2 linked regions of the Lonchura striata genome follow. The protein of the gene in region 1 purifies or fractionates together with the protein of each later gene. This does not show direct contact. Links are inferred from orthologs where the notes say so. Each region holds a gene or a part of one and is shown on either strand. Other genes may lie near its edges.

The links.
Region 2: the proteins of WRAP53 (region 1) and RNF8 purify together in Homo sapiens (affinity purification with western blotting; 3 studies listed by BioGRID). This does not show direct contact. The link is inferred for Lonchura striata from reciprocal best matches to the Homo sapiens genes WRAP53 and RNF8.

What each region holds. Positions count from the first base shown.
Region 1 is NC_134636.1:1,989,423-1,997,477, forward strand, and holds the start of WRAP53 (telomerase Cajal body protein 1), read right to left. Parts: upstream 3,046-8,055; 5' UTR 3,042-3,045; coding exon 3,020-3,041; intron 1,040-3,019; coding exon 970-1,039; intron 866-969; coding exon 767-865; intron 1-766. UniProt on the Homo sapiens protein: RNA chaperone that plays a key role in telomere maintenance and RNA localization to Cajal bodies. Specifically recognizes and binds the Cajal body box (CAB box) present in both small Cajal body RNAs (scaRNAs) and telomerase RNA template component (TERC).
Region 2 is NC_134605.1:29,922,162-29,929,747, forward strand, and holds the start of RNF8 (E3 ubiquitin-protein ligase RNF8), read right to left. Parts: upstream 3,030-7,586; 5' UTR 2,898-3,029; coding exon 2,808-2,897; intron 542-2,807; coding exon 413-541; intron 1-412. Other genes in the region: AARS2 (alanine--tRNA ligase, mitochondrial), read left to right, coding at 3,264-3,488, 3,919-4,107, 4,750-4,895, 5,654-5,848, 6,384-6,528, 6,972-7,117, 7,418-7,526. UniProt on the Homo sapiens protein: E3 ubiquitin-protein ligase that plays a key role in DNA damage signaling via 2 distinct roles: by mediating the 'Lys-63'-linked ubiquitination of histones H2A and H2AX and promoting the recruitment of DNA repair proteins at double-strand breaks (DSBs) sites, and by catalyzing 'Lys-48'-linked ubiquitination to remove target proteins from DNA damage sites.

The DNA of each region.
Region 1 (8,055 bases):
CCCAAAACAGCCCCCAGGAACCCCAAAATAAAACCCCCTAAGGGACCCCCGGGTCACCCCAAAACGGCCCCAAGAGACCCCAAAACAGCCCGAAAACAACCCCAAAACAGCCCCCAGGGACCCCAAAATAAAAGCCCCTAAGGGACCCCAAAATAATCCCCAAGGACCCCAAAATAACCCCAAAACAACCCCCCTTGTCACCCCAAAATAACCCCAAGGCGACCCCAAAATAACCCACAGGAACCCCCGGGAGTTGGGGACCCCCAAACGCCTCCCCAGGAACCCCGGGGACCCCCAAACCCCCCAAGGAACCCCCAGGGGACCCCAGATCTCCCCCCGAGGGGTTTGGGGGATTTTGGGGGAGTTTGGGGGCTTTTGGGGTGATTTTGAGGTGATTTTGGGGTGATTTTGATGGTGTTTTGGGGGGTTTTCGGGTGACTTTGGGGTGATTTTGGGGGTTCTGTGGAGTTTTGGGGGATTTTGAGGTGATTTTGGGGGTTCTGGGGAGTTTTGGGGTGATTTCGGGGTGATTTTGCGGTGGTGTCGGGGTGATTTTGGGGGTTCTGGGGAGTTTTGGGGTGATTTCGGGGGGTTTTGGGGTGATTTCGGGGTGATTTTGGGGTGATTTTGGGGTGATTTCGGGGTGATTTCGGGGTGGTTTTGGGGGTTTTGGGGTGATTCCGGGGTGATTTTGGGGGTTTTGGGGAGTTTTGGGGTGATTTCGGGGTGATTGCGGGGTGTTTTGGGGGGTTTTGGGGTCTCTCACCATTTGCAGCCGCGCAGGAAATTCTCGGGGCGCCGCGCGAATTCCTCCCGCGCCCCCCAAACCGGGCGGGGGGGGCGGCCCAGTTCGTACTGGGGGAAACTGGGGAGAGCCGAGGTTGGGGGGGGGGGGGTCGGGGACCCCAAAACCCCTCGGCGAGTCCGAGACCCCCACCCCAAAAAGCCGAAACCCCCCAAAAAACTCACTCGAGCTCCTCGGGCTCCGCCGGGGCCGCGTCCGGAGGGGTCCCGGGGGGGGCGGGGCCGCCCTGAGGGGCTGCGGGGGAGGGGAGAGCTCAGAGCCCCGACCCCCCCAAAAACAACCAAAAACCCCCAAAACCACCCAAAAATCCCCAAAATCCTCCCCAAAAAAACCCCCAAAACCACCCCAAAAAAAACCCAAAATCCTCCCCAAAAAAACCCCAAAATCCTCCCCCAAAAAAACCCCAAAATCCTCCCCAAAAAAACCCCCAAAATTCTTCCTCAAAAAAACCCAAAATCCCCCCAAAAAAAACCCAAAATCCCCCCAAAAAAACCCCAAAATCCCCACCCAAAAAACCCCAAAATCCTCCCCCAAAAAAACCCAAAATCCTCCTCCAAAAAAACCCCAAAATCCTCCCCCAAAAAAACCCCAAAATCCTCCCCGAGAAAACCCAAAATCCACCCAAAAGAACCCCAAAATCCTCCCCAAAAAAACCCCAAAATCCCCCCCAAAAAGACCCCAAAATCCCACCCAAAATACCCCAAAGCCTCCTCAAAAAAACCCCCAAAATCCTCCCCAAACAAACCCCCAAAATCCTCCCCAAAAAACCCCCAAAATCCTCCCCAAAAAAACCCCAAAATCCTCCCCAAAAAAAACCCCAAAATTCTTCCTCAAAAAACCCCAAAATCCTCCCCAAAAAAACCCCAAACCCTCCTCAAAAAAAACCCCAAAATCCTCCCCAAATAAACCCCAAAATCCCCCCCAAAAAGACCCCAAAATCCTCCCCAAAAAAACCCCAAAATCCTCCCCCAAAAAACCCCAAAATCCTCCCCAAAAAAAACCCAAAATCCTCCCCCAAAAAAACCCAAAATCCCCCCAAAAAAACCCCAAAATCCCCCCAAAAAAACCCCAAAATCCCCACCCAAAAAGCCCCAAAATCCTCCCCAAAAAAACCCCAAAATCCTCCTCAAAAAAAACCCCAAAATTCTTCCTCAAAAAACCCCAAAATCCTCCCCAAAAAAACCCCAAAATTCTTCCTCAAAAAACCCCAAAATCCTCCCCAAAAAAACCCCAAACCCTCCTCAAAAAAAACCCCAAAATCCTCCCCAAAAATACCCAAAATCCTCCCCAAAAAACCCCAAAATCCTCCCCAAAAAAAACCCCAAAATTCTTCCTCAAAAAACCCCAAAATCCTCCCCAAAAAAAGCCCAAAATCCCCCCCAAAAAGACCCCAAAATCCCCCCAAAAAAACCCCAAAATCCTCCCCAAAAAAACCCCAAAATACTCCCCAAAAAAACCCCAAAATCCCCCCAAAAAAACCCCAAAATCCTCCCCCAAAAAAACCCCAAAATCCTCCCCAAAAAAAAACCCAAAATTCTTCCTCAAAAAAACCCAAAATCCCCCCAAAAAAAACCCAAAATCCCCCCAAAAAAACCCCAAAATCCCCACCCAAAAACCCCCAAAATCCTCCCCAAAAAAAACCCAAAATCCCCCCAAAAAAACCCCAAAATCCTCCCCAAGAAAACCCAAAATCCCCCCCAAATAAACCCCAAAATTCTCCCCAAAAAAACCCCAAATCCTCCCCAAAAAAAAACCCCAAAATCCTCCCAAAAAAACCCCAAAATCCTCCTCCAAAAAAACCCCAAAATCCTCCCCAAAAAAACCCCAAAATTCTCCCCAAAAAGACCCAAAATCCCCCCCAGAAAACCCCAAAATCCTCCCCAAAAAAACCCCAAAATCCCCCCAAAAAAACCCCAAAATCCCCCCCAAAAAAACCCAAAATCCTCCCAAAAAAAAACCCAAAATCCCCCCCAAAAAACCCCAAAATCCCCCCAAAAAAACCCCAAAATCCTCCCAAAAAAAACCCAAAATCCTCCTCCAAAAAAACCCCAAAATCCTCCCCCAAAAAAACCCCAAAATCCTCCCCAAGAAAACCCAAAATCCACCCAAAAAACCCCAAATCCTCCCCAAAAAAACCCCAAAATCCTCCCCAAAAAAACCCCAAAATCCTCCCCAAAAAAACCCCAAAATCCTCCCGCGCGCCCCCGCGCGCACCGTCCGCCACGGGCGCCGCCATGACAGTCGAGGCCACGCCCCCTCCGGGACACGCCCCTCCGGGCCACGCCCCTCCGGGCCACGCCCCCTCCGGGCCACGCCCACATCGCCATATATGGGAAAGGCGCGGGTCGGATTGGCGCCTCCCTCTGTGGGCGGGGCCTCGGCTTTTCCCGCCAAAAGGGACGCCCGCGATTTGGGGACCCCAAAAAACGACCCCAAAAGGGTCCCGGGAGCCCAAAACCGACCCCAAAAGGGCCCAGGGGTACCTGGGACCCCCAAAACCGACCCCGAAACGGTCCTGGGGGAGCTGGGACCTCCAGAACCAACCCCTAAAATGTCCTGGGACCCCCAAAAAAGACACCAAAAGGGTCCCAGGACCCCAAAAATGACACCAAAAGGGTCCTGGGGCAGCTGGGACCCAACCATGGCGACCTTGACCCAACCATGACCCAACCACGGCCACCATGACCCAACCACAGCCACCACAACCCAACTATGACCACCATGACCCAACCATGGCCACCATCACCCACCCACGGCCACCATGGCCACCACAACCCAACCATGACCCAACCATGGCCACCATGACCCAACCACAGCCACCACAACCCAACCATGACCCAACCATGGTCACCATCAGCCAACCACAGCCACCACGGCCACCATGACCCAATCATGGCCACCATGACTCAACCATGACCCAACCACAGCCACCACAACCCAACCGTGGCCACCACGACCCAGCCGTGATGTTCCTCCAGGACCCAGCCATACCCACCGTGATGTTCCTCCACGTCCCCCTCAAGTCCCTCAGGGCCCCCCCACAGGTGCCCAGGTGTGTCCAGGTGGCCCCAAATGAGGAATTTTGGGGTCTCCTCTCTCCCCCCAAAAAAAAGTCACGGGTGAAAATCAATAAAACTTTTATTAACTGCCCCCAAAATCTGAAATCCCCCAAAATTCTCTTCCCCTCCCCCCACAACAACCCCGAAAGTCAAAACAGCAAAATAAATGGGGGGTGGGGGAGGGGCAGAGGACCCCCCCCCCGAACCCCCAAACCGCCACCACCGAGCGCCCCCCTCCCCCTCCCCCTCATTAACGAACCCCATAAATTACAACCCCCCACCGGCCCCCCCAAAACTGGGGGGGGGGCTCCCACACCAGCCCCTCCCCCCCCCCGACTTGGGGGTCACCTCTAACTTGGGGGGGGGGTCACCCTCGGCTCGGGGGTCACCCCAAATTTAAGGGTCAGAGCCGGGTTTGGGGATCAACCCCCCGATTTAGGGTTTCACCCCGATTTAGGGTTTTACTCTAATTTAGGGGTCCCCCCGAGTTTGGGGGTCCCCCCGAGTTTGGGGGTTGCCCCCTCTGAACTTTGGGGTCAAGTTCCCCCTCAAACCTGAGGGTCCCTCCAGTTCTGGGGGGGGACCCCAAATTTGGCCATCACCACCCTCTGGTGTCACCCCAATTCCAGGGTCACCCCAACAGTCCGTGGGGACCCGGGGGGTGACAACAGCCCTGTCCCCACCGAAACTTGGTGGTTTGGGGGTGACAACCCCAAGCTCATTTGCATTTGGGGTGACAACCCCAAGCTCATTTGCATTTGGGGTGACAACCCCAAGCACATTTGCATTTGGGGTGACACCGCCGTTGCCGTTGGACGTTGGGGTTTGGGGGTGACAACCCCGTTCCCACGGGAATTCGGGTGTCACCCCCACGGCTGTTGTGGGTTTTGGGGGGGTGACACCCCCGACCCCACTGCAGCGTGGGGGTGACGCCGCCGCCCCTGTGTGAGTTTTGGGGTCACCCCCGCGGCCTGCGGGGTTCGGGGGTGACAACCACCCCGAGCCCGTCAGAATTCGGGGGTTCAGGGGGTGACGCTCCCGACCCCGTATCCATCCGGGTTTTTGGGGGGTGACAACCACCGCGGCCCCAAATCAATGCTGGGGTCACCCCCACGGCCTGCGGGGTTCGGGGGTGACGACAACCCCGTGCCCGGATCGAGGTGGGGTTGTTGGGGAGCGACAACAGCCCCGCCCCCGTGGCCATCTGGGGGTCACGCCCACGGCCTGGGGCGGGGGTTTCGGGGGGTGCCACCCCCGCGCCCACAGGCCGAGCCTCAGTTGTCGTCGTCGCTGTCGTCGGGGCTGATGGCCGGGCTGGTGAGGCTGTAGGTGGGTGAGGTGGGGCTGTAGCCGGGGGACGTGGGGCTGTAGGTGGAGCCCTTGGGCGAGGTGGGGCTGTAGGTGGGTGACGTGGGGCTGTACTTGGGCGAGGTGGGGCTGTAGGTGGGCGAGGTGGGGCTGTACTTGGGCGACGTCGGGGTGTAGACGGGCGAGGTGGGGCTGTAGGTGGGCGAGGTGGGGCTGTACTTGGGCGTGGTGGGGCTGTAGGTGGGCGAGGTGGGGCTGTACTTGGGCGAGGTGGGGCTGTACTTGGGCGAGGTGGGGCTGTACTTGGGCGAGGTCGGGGTGTACTCGGGGGAGCTGGGGCTGTAGCTGGGGCTGGTCGGGGTGTACTTGGGGGAGGTGGGGCTGTAGCTGGGGCTGCTGGGGCTGTAGCTGGGGCTGCTGGGGGTGTAGGTGGGCGACTGCGGGGTGTAGCGGGGGCTGGACGGGGAGTAACTGGGCGAGGTGGGGCTGTAGCTGGGTGACGTGGGGCTGTAGCTGGGCGAGGTGGGGCTGTAGTTGGGTGAGGTCGGGGTGTAGTTGGGGCTGGTGGGGCTGTAACTGGGAGAGGTGGGGCTGTAGCTGGGAGAGGTCGGGGTGTAGTTGGGGCTGGTGGGGCTGTAGTTGGGCGAGGTGGGGCTGTAGCTTGGGGATGTTGGGCTGTAACTGGGCGAGGTCGGGCTGTAACTGGGAGAAGTGGGGCTGTAACTGGGCGAGGTGGGGCTGTAGCTCGGCGAGGTGGGGCTGTAGCTCGGCGAGGTGGGGCTGTAGCTGGGGGACGTCGGGCTGTAGCTGGGCGAGGTGGGGCTGTAGCTGGGCGAGGTGGGGCTGTAACTGGGCGAGGTGGGGCTGTAGCTCGGGGACGTGGGGCTGTAACTGGGAGAGGTGGGGCTGTAACTGGGCGAGGTGGGGCTGTAGCTGGGGGACGTGGGGCTGTAGCTGGGCGAGGTGGGGCTGTAGTTGGGCGAGGTGGGGCTGTAGCTGGGGGACGTGGGGCTGTAGCTGGGCGAGGTGGGGCTGTAGCTGGGGCTCTGTGGGGTGTAGCCCCCCGGCGACCGCGGCTCGTAGGCGGGGGACGTCGGGCTGTAGCTGGGGGACATGGCCCCACCTGCGGAGAGAGGACACGGGGGTCAGGAGGGTGTTGGGGAGGGTGGTGGGGTGTTGTGGGGGTGTTGTAGAGGGCTGTGTGGCCCTTTGAGGTGTGGTTCAGGTGTTGTGGGGCTGTTGCTGGTGGTGGGGTGTAGGGGGTCCCTTTGAGGTGCTGTTCGGGTGTTGTGGGGCTCAGTGATGGGCTGCTATGGGGCTGTTTTGGGGTGTTTCAGTGAGTTTTGGGGTGTTGATAGGGGTTACAGGGTATTTTATGGATCTTTTGTGTTATTTCAGGCTGTTTCAGTGTGTTTGGGGTGTTGTCAGGTGTTATAGGGTGTTTCACGGGTGTTTTCATTATTTTAAGGGTATTTTAGGGTGTTTCAGTGTGTTTGGGGTGTTGTTAGGGGTTACGCAGTGTTTTGAGGGTGGTTTTGTTATTTTCAGGGTATTTTCAGGTGTTTCAGTGAGTTCTGGGCTGTTGTTAGGGGTTACAGGGTATTTTACGGGTGTTCTGGGTTATTTTAGGGTATTCCAGTGAGTTCTGGGGTGTTGTTGGGTGTTACAGGGAGTTTTGGGTTATTTCAGGGTGTTCCAGTGAGTTCTGGGTTGTTGCTGGGTGTTACAGGGTGTTCTGAGGGTGTTTGGGGTTATTTCAGGGTGTTCCAGTGAGTTCTGGGTTGTTGCTGGGTGTTACAGGGTGTTCTGAGGGTGTTTGGGGTTATTTCAGGGTGTTCCAGTGAGTTCTGGGCTGTTGCTAGGTGTTACAGGGTGTTTTCGGGTGTTTGGGGTTATTTCAGGGTGTTTTAGGGTGTTTCAGTGAGTTCTGGGTTGTTGCTGGGTGTTACAGGGTGTTTTCGGGTGTTTGGGGTTATTTCATGGTGTTTTAGGGTGTTTCAGTGAGTTCTGGGTTGTTGCTGGGTGTTACAGGGTGTTTTCGGGTGTTTGGGGTTATTTCAGGGTGTTTTGGGGTGTTTTCGGGGCTGTACTCACCGGGGGAGGGGATGTAGGGGCTGGAGGGGCCGGGGGACCCCGGCGAGCCGGGTGTGGGTGACCAGGCCGGGGAGTAGCCGGGGCTGAAGCCGGAGGCGTCGGAGGCGGCGCTGGGGGAGAACCCGGCCCCGCCCGGGGTCATCCCGCTGCCTGTGGGGGAGAGGGGTCAGCGGCACCCCAAAAACAGCCCGGGACCCCAAAAACAGCCCGGGACCCCAAAACCACCCTCAAATACAGCCCAGGACCCCAAAACCAGCCCCAAACAGAACCTGAGACCCCAAAACCACCCTCAAATACAGCCCAGGACCCCAAAAACAGCCCAGGACCCCAAAACCAGCCCCAAACAGAACCTGAGACCCCAAAACCACCCTCAAATACAGCCCGGGACCCCAAAACTGGCCCAGGACACCAAAACCAGCCCTTAAACACAACCCGGCCCCATCCCGCTGCCTGGGGGGGGAAAAGGGGTCAGGGGACCCCTCATCATCCCCAATTCACCCCCCAGTGCACCCCAACTTCCCCCCACAGCCAGCCCAGTGACCCCTTTTTACCCCAGACCCCCCAAGAACCCCTCCCAGTCCCTCCCAGTCCGTCCCAGTTCGTCCCAGTCCCTCCCAGTTCCCTCCCAGTCCGTCCCAGTCCGTCCCAGTTCGTCCCAGTCCCTCCCAGTTCCCTCCCAGTCCGTCCCAGTCCGTCTCAGTTCGTCCCAGTCCCTCCCAGTTCCCTCCCAGTCCGTCCCAGTTCCCTCCCAGTCCCTCCCAGTCCGTCCCAGTTCCCTCCCAGTCCCTC
Region 2 (7,586 bases), on another chromosome or scaffold:
CATGGCTTTTCTAATACTAGATTCTTGTTGAAGTTGATTATAATCAAAGCAATTGTATCACTACAACAACGAGTTGCACTTTATCTTTTCATTAGCACTACAAGAATGTTATCCTTTTGAAAAGATAAAACCCTGTATCAAAATTCATATAGGATATTTTTTAAGAAAGCGACACCGAAGGTTCACAGACTGCAAAGTGCCCTTGGCCAGGCCACACTGGTCTGAATAATGCTAAACTAAGAGGTAGATCTACATACAGAAAGTAATCCCAACTGCAGCAGACTGAAGTTTCCTGCTGGAAGTGCACAACAGGCAAGACACAATCCCTTCTATCCCACTTATGCTGTATCATAGCCCATACACTGCTAGATCCAAAAGAATGGATTCTATTCAATGTATCTCAGGAGTATACCTTGTTATCCTTGACAGTCCACTGCCCTTCTGCATTCTGCTGGAAGACACAGTGCTTACGAGAGATCATCAAGGGACAGGTTTTTGACACCAGCTGGTACGTGTTATCTAATCCTCGGCCAACAGTCACCTAAAAATAAAGTAGCATAGTTACTGCAATCAGTAATGACATGGTAAATTCAGTTTATGGCATTTCAATTTAAGTACAGCAAAACTCTATATCAATATCTTATGGTTATTTCCAAAAGGTCTGGCATAGTATGATTTTTTTTTTAATTTAATTTTAAGAGTATATAGAAAATAGAAGCTTATAAAGTTTGAAGTATTATCTTTCTCTCCCACTGAGGAAATTTTAATTTCTCTGAGGCACGTTACAACTTGGTTTCATGGAAATCTTCCTCAGCGGCAAAGCTGCTCAAAGCCACTCAGATACAACTCTGTCCCACCTCAATCATTACCTAACCAAATACCATTTCTTCAAACCAGCACTATTGTGTGTGGGTCTCAAGACTACTTCTTAACCTCTTCTTTTGCTAGTTGCATCTGTTCAACCATTTGTGAACAGAAAAGATACAGGAAAAAAATAGCCCAGAAAACTGCCATCAAAAAAAAGTGCACACTCAACATTGTCCTAAATACACAGTACTTTTGTAAATCACACCATCGATCTTATGGCTCAGAATCTAAGCTACATGCAGCTCATAATCAGTAGTAAAAGTGATCTAAGTAACTGCATTAGACTAATACTATTTTCTGGAAGAAGGCATATATTTGTAGTATTGCACAGTATCTTTTTAAATCTCATCTGATTTCAGATTGCCATTTAAAGCACATCCCTGCTCTCCCTCCCTCTGCTGCCTCCTCTGCACACTTCTCTTAATTAATCCGCATTACCTGAGCAGTTCTCACCTTGAGTTTAGAGCAAGAATTCAGACCCCCGTGTCATAACCAAAAGCAAGGAAGCAAACTAAGATAACAAAAGCAAACTTAAACATGTTAGTGCCTACCTCTTAAATGTTTCATATAGTTTTCTGTCAGCATGGATTGCATACATAAGAGGTACAGAGACTCAAATGGATAAAGACTCCCTTCTTCATGAGGATTCAAACATAAAAGCAGCTTTGCATTTGTCCCTGCAGTGGCATCCTCAGGGCCCAGTCACACACGTCTACAGGACCTCACATATCAATATGAGTGAGAGCAAGCAGGGGCAGTCATAAAATTCCCCCTTGATCAAGCTCATTTAGCAAGCAGGGGTCCAAGATGTTACCACTCACCTGCTGGAGTTCAGTGCTGCTCACAGCAGTACCGGCAAATCACATCCCATTCCCACATATGAGCAGTGTCCTTTAGCACCAAAGTGGTCACAGCACCAAGCCTGATAGTGTTAAAAAAGTGTTTGGATAACATCCTCAGGCATGTGGTGTGATTCTTAGGACTGTCCTGTGCAGAGTCAGGAGCTGGACTCAGTGATCCCTGTCAGTCCCTTTCATCTCAGCATAATCTATGATTATGATTTAAATCTCCAGCAAAAGCAGTTTGTACTCTGTGGCCTGGCACACCTACAGCACCTCCCTGCTGCAAATGACAACCACTGTGCATACAATCAGAATAGTAACATACCAAACTGGATTCCCTGCATAATTATCAGTGCCTTGGCTGCAAGTTGTTAGCGCCAGTCCTTCACCGAGGAGATCTGCAAATCTCAGGGCTTCAAATCCACAATGGGAGAGTAACAAAAGCATACGTTTGGATGGGTGCCTTTTGCGGTGTTTGAACACAAGGCCTTGGCCACAGCATCACCCATACCACCTGATTTTGACCACCGGAACAGCACTCCTTTTACGCTGCCCCAACGTCATCACACGTCTTTGCCTGCTGGGTTTTAAAGAAGAGTACCAGGGCCCATTTTTCAATTTAAAAACACAATCGCTAAGAAAACGGCTATTCCCGTACCGCATCAAAACAATTTAAAAGTGACTTCATTTACACCTGAATACCTTATGCCTTAGGTACTGTTAACCTCGCCAAAAGCACCACCTTGTTAATTAGGCTATGGGCTCCCTTCGTCCTCACTTACGTTACCGTTACACGAACAACTCTATCTAAATATGACATAAGAATGTAAAGACATAAACAAGCGAAGGCTCGTCCAAGGCCACTCCAGCGCCTGGGTCCGTCTTCCACGACCGGGGGCGTTACCGGGGCTGAATGGCGCCCGCCCGGGCGGCTCCTCCGAACGGCCACGAACGGAGGCTGCTCCTTAAGCGGGACAAGGCGGTGCTTTTTCCTCCTGGGAAGCGCTGTAAGAAACACGAGACCCCACCAAACTGCGCCCCGAGAGCCGTGCCTGCCCCCCCGCCCACTCCGAGGGGTCGGGGCCCGGTGCGGCTCACCTGCGTGCCGGCCTCCAGCAGGAGCCAGTCGCCGCTGGCCCCGACTCGGCGGAGGCACCAGGCCAGGCACGGCACGCCGCGCACCGCCATGGCGCCCGCCCGCCGCGACCGGCGGGAGCGATCTCCGCGGCGGGAGCGATCTCCGCGGCGGGAGCGATCTCCGCGGCGGGAGCGATCTCCGCGGCGGCAGCGATCTCCGCGGCGGCAGCGATCTCCGCGGCGGCAGCGATCTCCGCGGCGGCAGCGATCTCCGCGGCGGGGCGGCGCTCGCAGGGGCCGGGGCGGGCCGGGGCCCGTCCGAGCCCGGGCTGCGACCGGAGCCCGCGCGTGCGCCGTAGGACGGCGGGGCCGCCGCGCGGCGCTTTCCCGCAGTCCCGCCGCGCTCCGCCGGGTCCCGCCTCCCCCTCGTACCGCCCCTTCCGGGCGCCCCGGCGCTGCCGTCCGCCGTGAGGCGCCATGGCTGCCGCCGCCCGGCTGCGGCGGCGGCTGCTGCTGGCGGTGCCATGGCGCTGGCGCTGCAGTCCCCGCCGCGGCGGTGCCGCCTGCCCGTCGGCGGGGCAGATCCGCGCCGCCTTCCTGCGCTTCTTCGAGGAGCGCCACGGCCACCGCCGCCTGCCCTCGGCCCCCGTGCGGCCCCGCGGCGACCCGCGTCTCCTCTTCGTCAATGCGGGCATGAACCAGGTGCTCTTCCCTGTCCTGCACCTCCCCTCCTCCGGCTCGCCGGCGCTTCCGCATCTCAGAGGAGCGCCGCCCGGCTCGGGGTGTCCCCTGCCAAGATCTCCGGCGTTGCCCTGGGCTCCCCGCGCCGCCGTCCTGCTGGACGCCTCTCGTAGTGCCGCAGTGCTGTGCGAGTCTCCCCCGCTGGCGATAGTTTAAAACTGTCAACACAATCCTGTGCCGTGTGTTCTGGAACGAACTAGCTAAAGCAGGGAGGTTGGACCAGATGGCCCACTGTGGTCCCTTCCAACCTGACCCATTCTGTGTATCGGGAGCCCCAGGCGCAGGCTCACTGCACTAGGTGGCATCTGTCCATAGCGGGTACAGATGCCACCTAGGCATCTGTAGGAATGCCTACACCTAGGCATCTAGAGCGTGTGTCTCTCGTTTCCAGTTCAAGCCCATTTTCCTGGGCACGGTGCACCCCCGGAGTGAGCTGGCCCAGTACCGGCGGGTGGTGAACAGCCAGAAGTGTGTGCGTGCAGGAGGGAAGCACAACGATCTGGAGGATGTAGGCCGAGATACTTACCATCACACGTTCTTTGAGATGCTGGGGAACTGGTCCTTTGGGGATTACTTTAAGGTGAGGTGATAGTAGTGAACCCTTTCTAGGGGAAAACATAACCTGCCTTTCAGAGCTGTGCTGTAGTGCCATAGGAGTGTGTACAGAAGGTGTTTTGGTAAGATCCAGATTCATTCCTGGGGGCTCTGTGGCCTGGAACAGCGGTGGTGAGCTCATGGGCTCTATTGCTGAATGTGTCCTGAAGACTCTCAAAGCACTCAGCCTGCCAAAGCTGTGACCAACATGTAAAAATAAAAGTTTTCTGTGAGAATGCCAGTGTTAGCCACTTAATATGGTGTAAAGAGGTTACCAGCTCATTTAATGTTTGTTACTAGAAGGTTTGAAAAGGGAAGAAGAACAAAGGATGCTAAGTTTTTTAGGTGACATATAGATTTTTTCTTTGGAAATTAAATAATCCATGTAACTCTGCCAGCAAGCACATAGATGCACACCATGCTGAAGGGCTCACAACATTTTAGAAATGTCAGTTTTCCACTGGCAGCAGTGAGCTGTTTCATTCTCCTGACCTTCATCCTTGCTCTTTGCAATAAGTCTGAAAATTAGAAAGGGAGAGAAACAGCTGAAATTAACTTCTTTGTTGTTTGATTCCCATTCTAAAGACTCTGAATTATTGTGCTTCATTTATGTTCCCTACCTGCTCAGGAGGAGGCATGTAGCATGGCCTGGGAGCTCTTGACAGAGGTCTATGAGATCCCCAGAGATCGTCTCTATGTCACCTACTTTGGTGGAGACCCCTCGCTGGGGCTGAGCGCAGACGAGGAGTGCAGGGATGTGTGGCTCCACTTGGGGTAAGTGTGTCAGAGAAGAGGTGCTGACATTTTACTTTCCACAGTCTTGCATTTGCTCTTTAGTTGATCAGCTGTGGGGGCCAGAGAGTATGTTTTACCATTTTGTTTCTGGTTTCTTTGCGCTGTTAAAAGTCAGCTGGGCTCTGAACTCACTGGGTCTCTTGAACTTTTGGTTCATTCTCAGGTAGTATCAGTGGGGGTGGGTATGTGCCTAAAACTGGCTGGCCTGGATGAAGTACGTACAGGATCTCCAATCCTTTGCTTCCTCTCCATCATGAGAGTGTGTTCTCTGAAAGCAGGCAATGTCTGCTTCAGTGAGAGGGTGCAGCCATTGCAGAGAGCACTGCTGTGCTTGGGGATCTTGTTCCAGCTGTATGTAGGCTTTGAGCCCAAGGCAGACAGCTCTGTGCCACTGATGGTGTTCAGGTCTTGCCTCTGCTCCAAGGAGCAAGGTGCTCCACAGACCCAGTGGAGAGCCTGTCTTGGTCAGCAGGGGCCAGGCTGTGTTTGCCCATAATTCTGGGCTGAGACTAGGGTCCTGTGTGGTTTGGCTCACTTAATCTTACTAAGGAGAGTAATTCTGTGTGAAGAGAAGGAAGCAGAGGAAGTAGAGAAACAGAGGAATTCTGATGTGTTTCCTTTTTGAGTCTGTAGAAGGAAGAAAGGATTCCTTTCTTCCAGCTTTCTTTGTGATCTGGGTTACTGTGTGGTTTGTGTGTATGCCTCAGCACTGCCATCTCTGTTATCTGCCTTTCCAGGGTTCCTGCCAGTCACGTGCTTCCTTTCCCATTGAAGGATAACTTCTGGGAGATGGGGGACACAGGTCCTTGCGGTCCCTGCACAGAGATCCACTATGACCACGTGGGTGGTGGCAGAAATGCTGCAGCACTGGTGAACCAGGGCAGCCCCGATGTAGTGGAGATCTGGAACTTAGTTTTCATGCAGTACAGCAGGTACCAAGCATCTCATCTGAACTCCAGAGCCTTTCCCCCTAGCCTGACTCCAAAATCATGGGTATATTCTCAGACTTATCACTGGTTTCCAGAAGGTAGCAATACCAAGACCAGGAGCAAGAGAGAAACTGTGGAGATTTGCCCAGCATGGCTCTTGGTCCCCTTTGCTTTAAATCCCTGTCTTCTTCAACCTTCACTGCCTATTCTCCCTTAATGCTGCATTCCAGAGATCTCTTGAGGTCTGCAGCAGTCTGGAAGAGGAGGAGAAGGCCTTTTTTCCTTACATTGCAGCCTATCCTACATTGCATTTTCCTTACATTGCAGCCTATGCTATGTGATGGTCAGATAATGGCTGCCTGACAGGGCTAAGGCAGGCTGCTGTCACTCTTATCCCTGAGCTTCCTTATGCTGGGTCACCCAATGTTTCCATCCCCTGTCACTTTCCCATTCTCTTTGATTCACCTGTTCCTTATTTTTGCTCATGAACTGATCCTTGCTTCTCTTTTGCCTTTTATTTTTCCTGCCTGGCTGACAGAGAGGTGGAGGGGAATCTCCTTCCCTTGCCGCAGTACCATGTGGATACAGGAATGGGTCTGGAAAGACTGGTGACAGTTCTGCAGAACAAACGTTCCAGCTATGACACAGATCTCTTCACTCCCATCTTGGATGCTATTCACAAGGTGATGGTGCTTCTGCTTAGAGTCACAGCTCAACAAAAGCTCCTTGAACACAGACTGCTTGCTGGGTAGCATAGTATAGTCTTCTCTGAGCAGTTATTGAGCAGTGTCTTGAGGCGGGAGGTTATGTCCTGCCAGGTCCAATGCAGTGTTCTAGAAAAAAGGGAGAATTCCAGGCTGGAAATCTGCTGGAATTTCAGCACTGCTGATTCATTTTCCTTTAAAGTGTTTTAAGTTTCTCAGTGCTAGGGCATTGGCTGACCTGTGTTAGTTACAGAAGTCTTGGTCTGTAGTGCCGTGGAAGGATTTGATGAGTACATCTTAGGTGCACGGGGTTCAGAGGTACTTGAAAAACATGATGTCAGGCATAGCTGGCTGCCTCTTGTGTTGAAACTTCTTCTGCAGCCATTATTTTCTGCTGATTTTCTCTCTACTTTCTCTTTTAGGTCTGCAGGGCACCCAGATACCAAGGTTTGGTCGGGAATGCTGATGTTGGGCGTGTGAACATGGCCTACCGCGTGGTGGCAGATCATGTGCGCACCCTGTGCGTGTGCATCACTGATGGCATCTACCCAGGCTTCTCTGGAGCAGAGTAAGGACGTAAGGAGATGGCATGAGGTGGAGGAAGTTAGGTCTAGAAAGGAATATGAACAGCCAGGGAAGAGGTTCTAGTGTGGGCCCCAGATAGGGAGTACATGAGCTTTTAGGGAGACAGGAAGATGAGAGCCAGGAAGGGGTTCCAATCTGCAGACTTCCCCTTGGATGGGTGTAGAGTGTTGGGAGCATCTGGCCTGTGCTGATGAATCAGACCAGATGAGCTGGGGGATGCTGGATGTGGCAGCTGGGCAGGGATGCTCACAAGGCTGCCTGAGGAATCCTTCTCTGTTTTCAGACTGGTGCTGCGTCGGATCCTGCGCAGGGCTGTACGCTTTTGCTCTGAAGTTCTACAGGCTCCACCTGGGCTCCTGGCCTCCCTGGTGCCTACAGTTGTGGAAGTGCTGGTGAGTAAAACTGCTGTCTTGGGGGAAAAAGGTCATCACGCATCCTATTCAGCCCCAAGT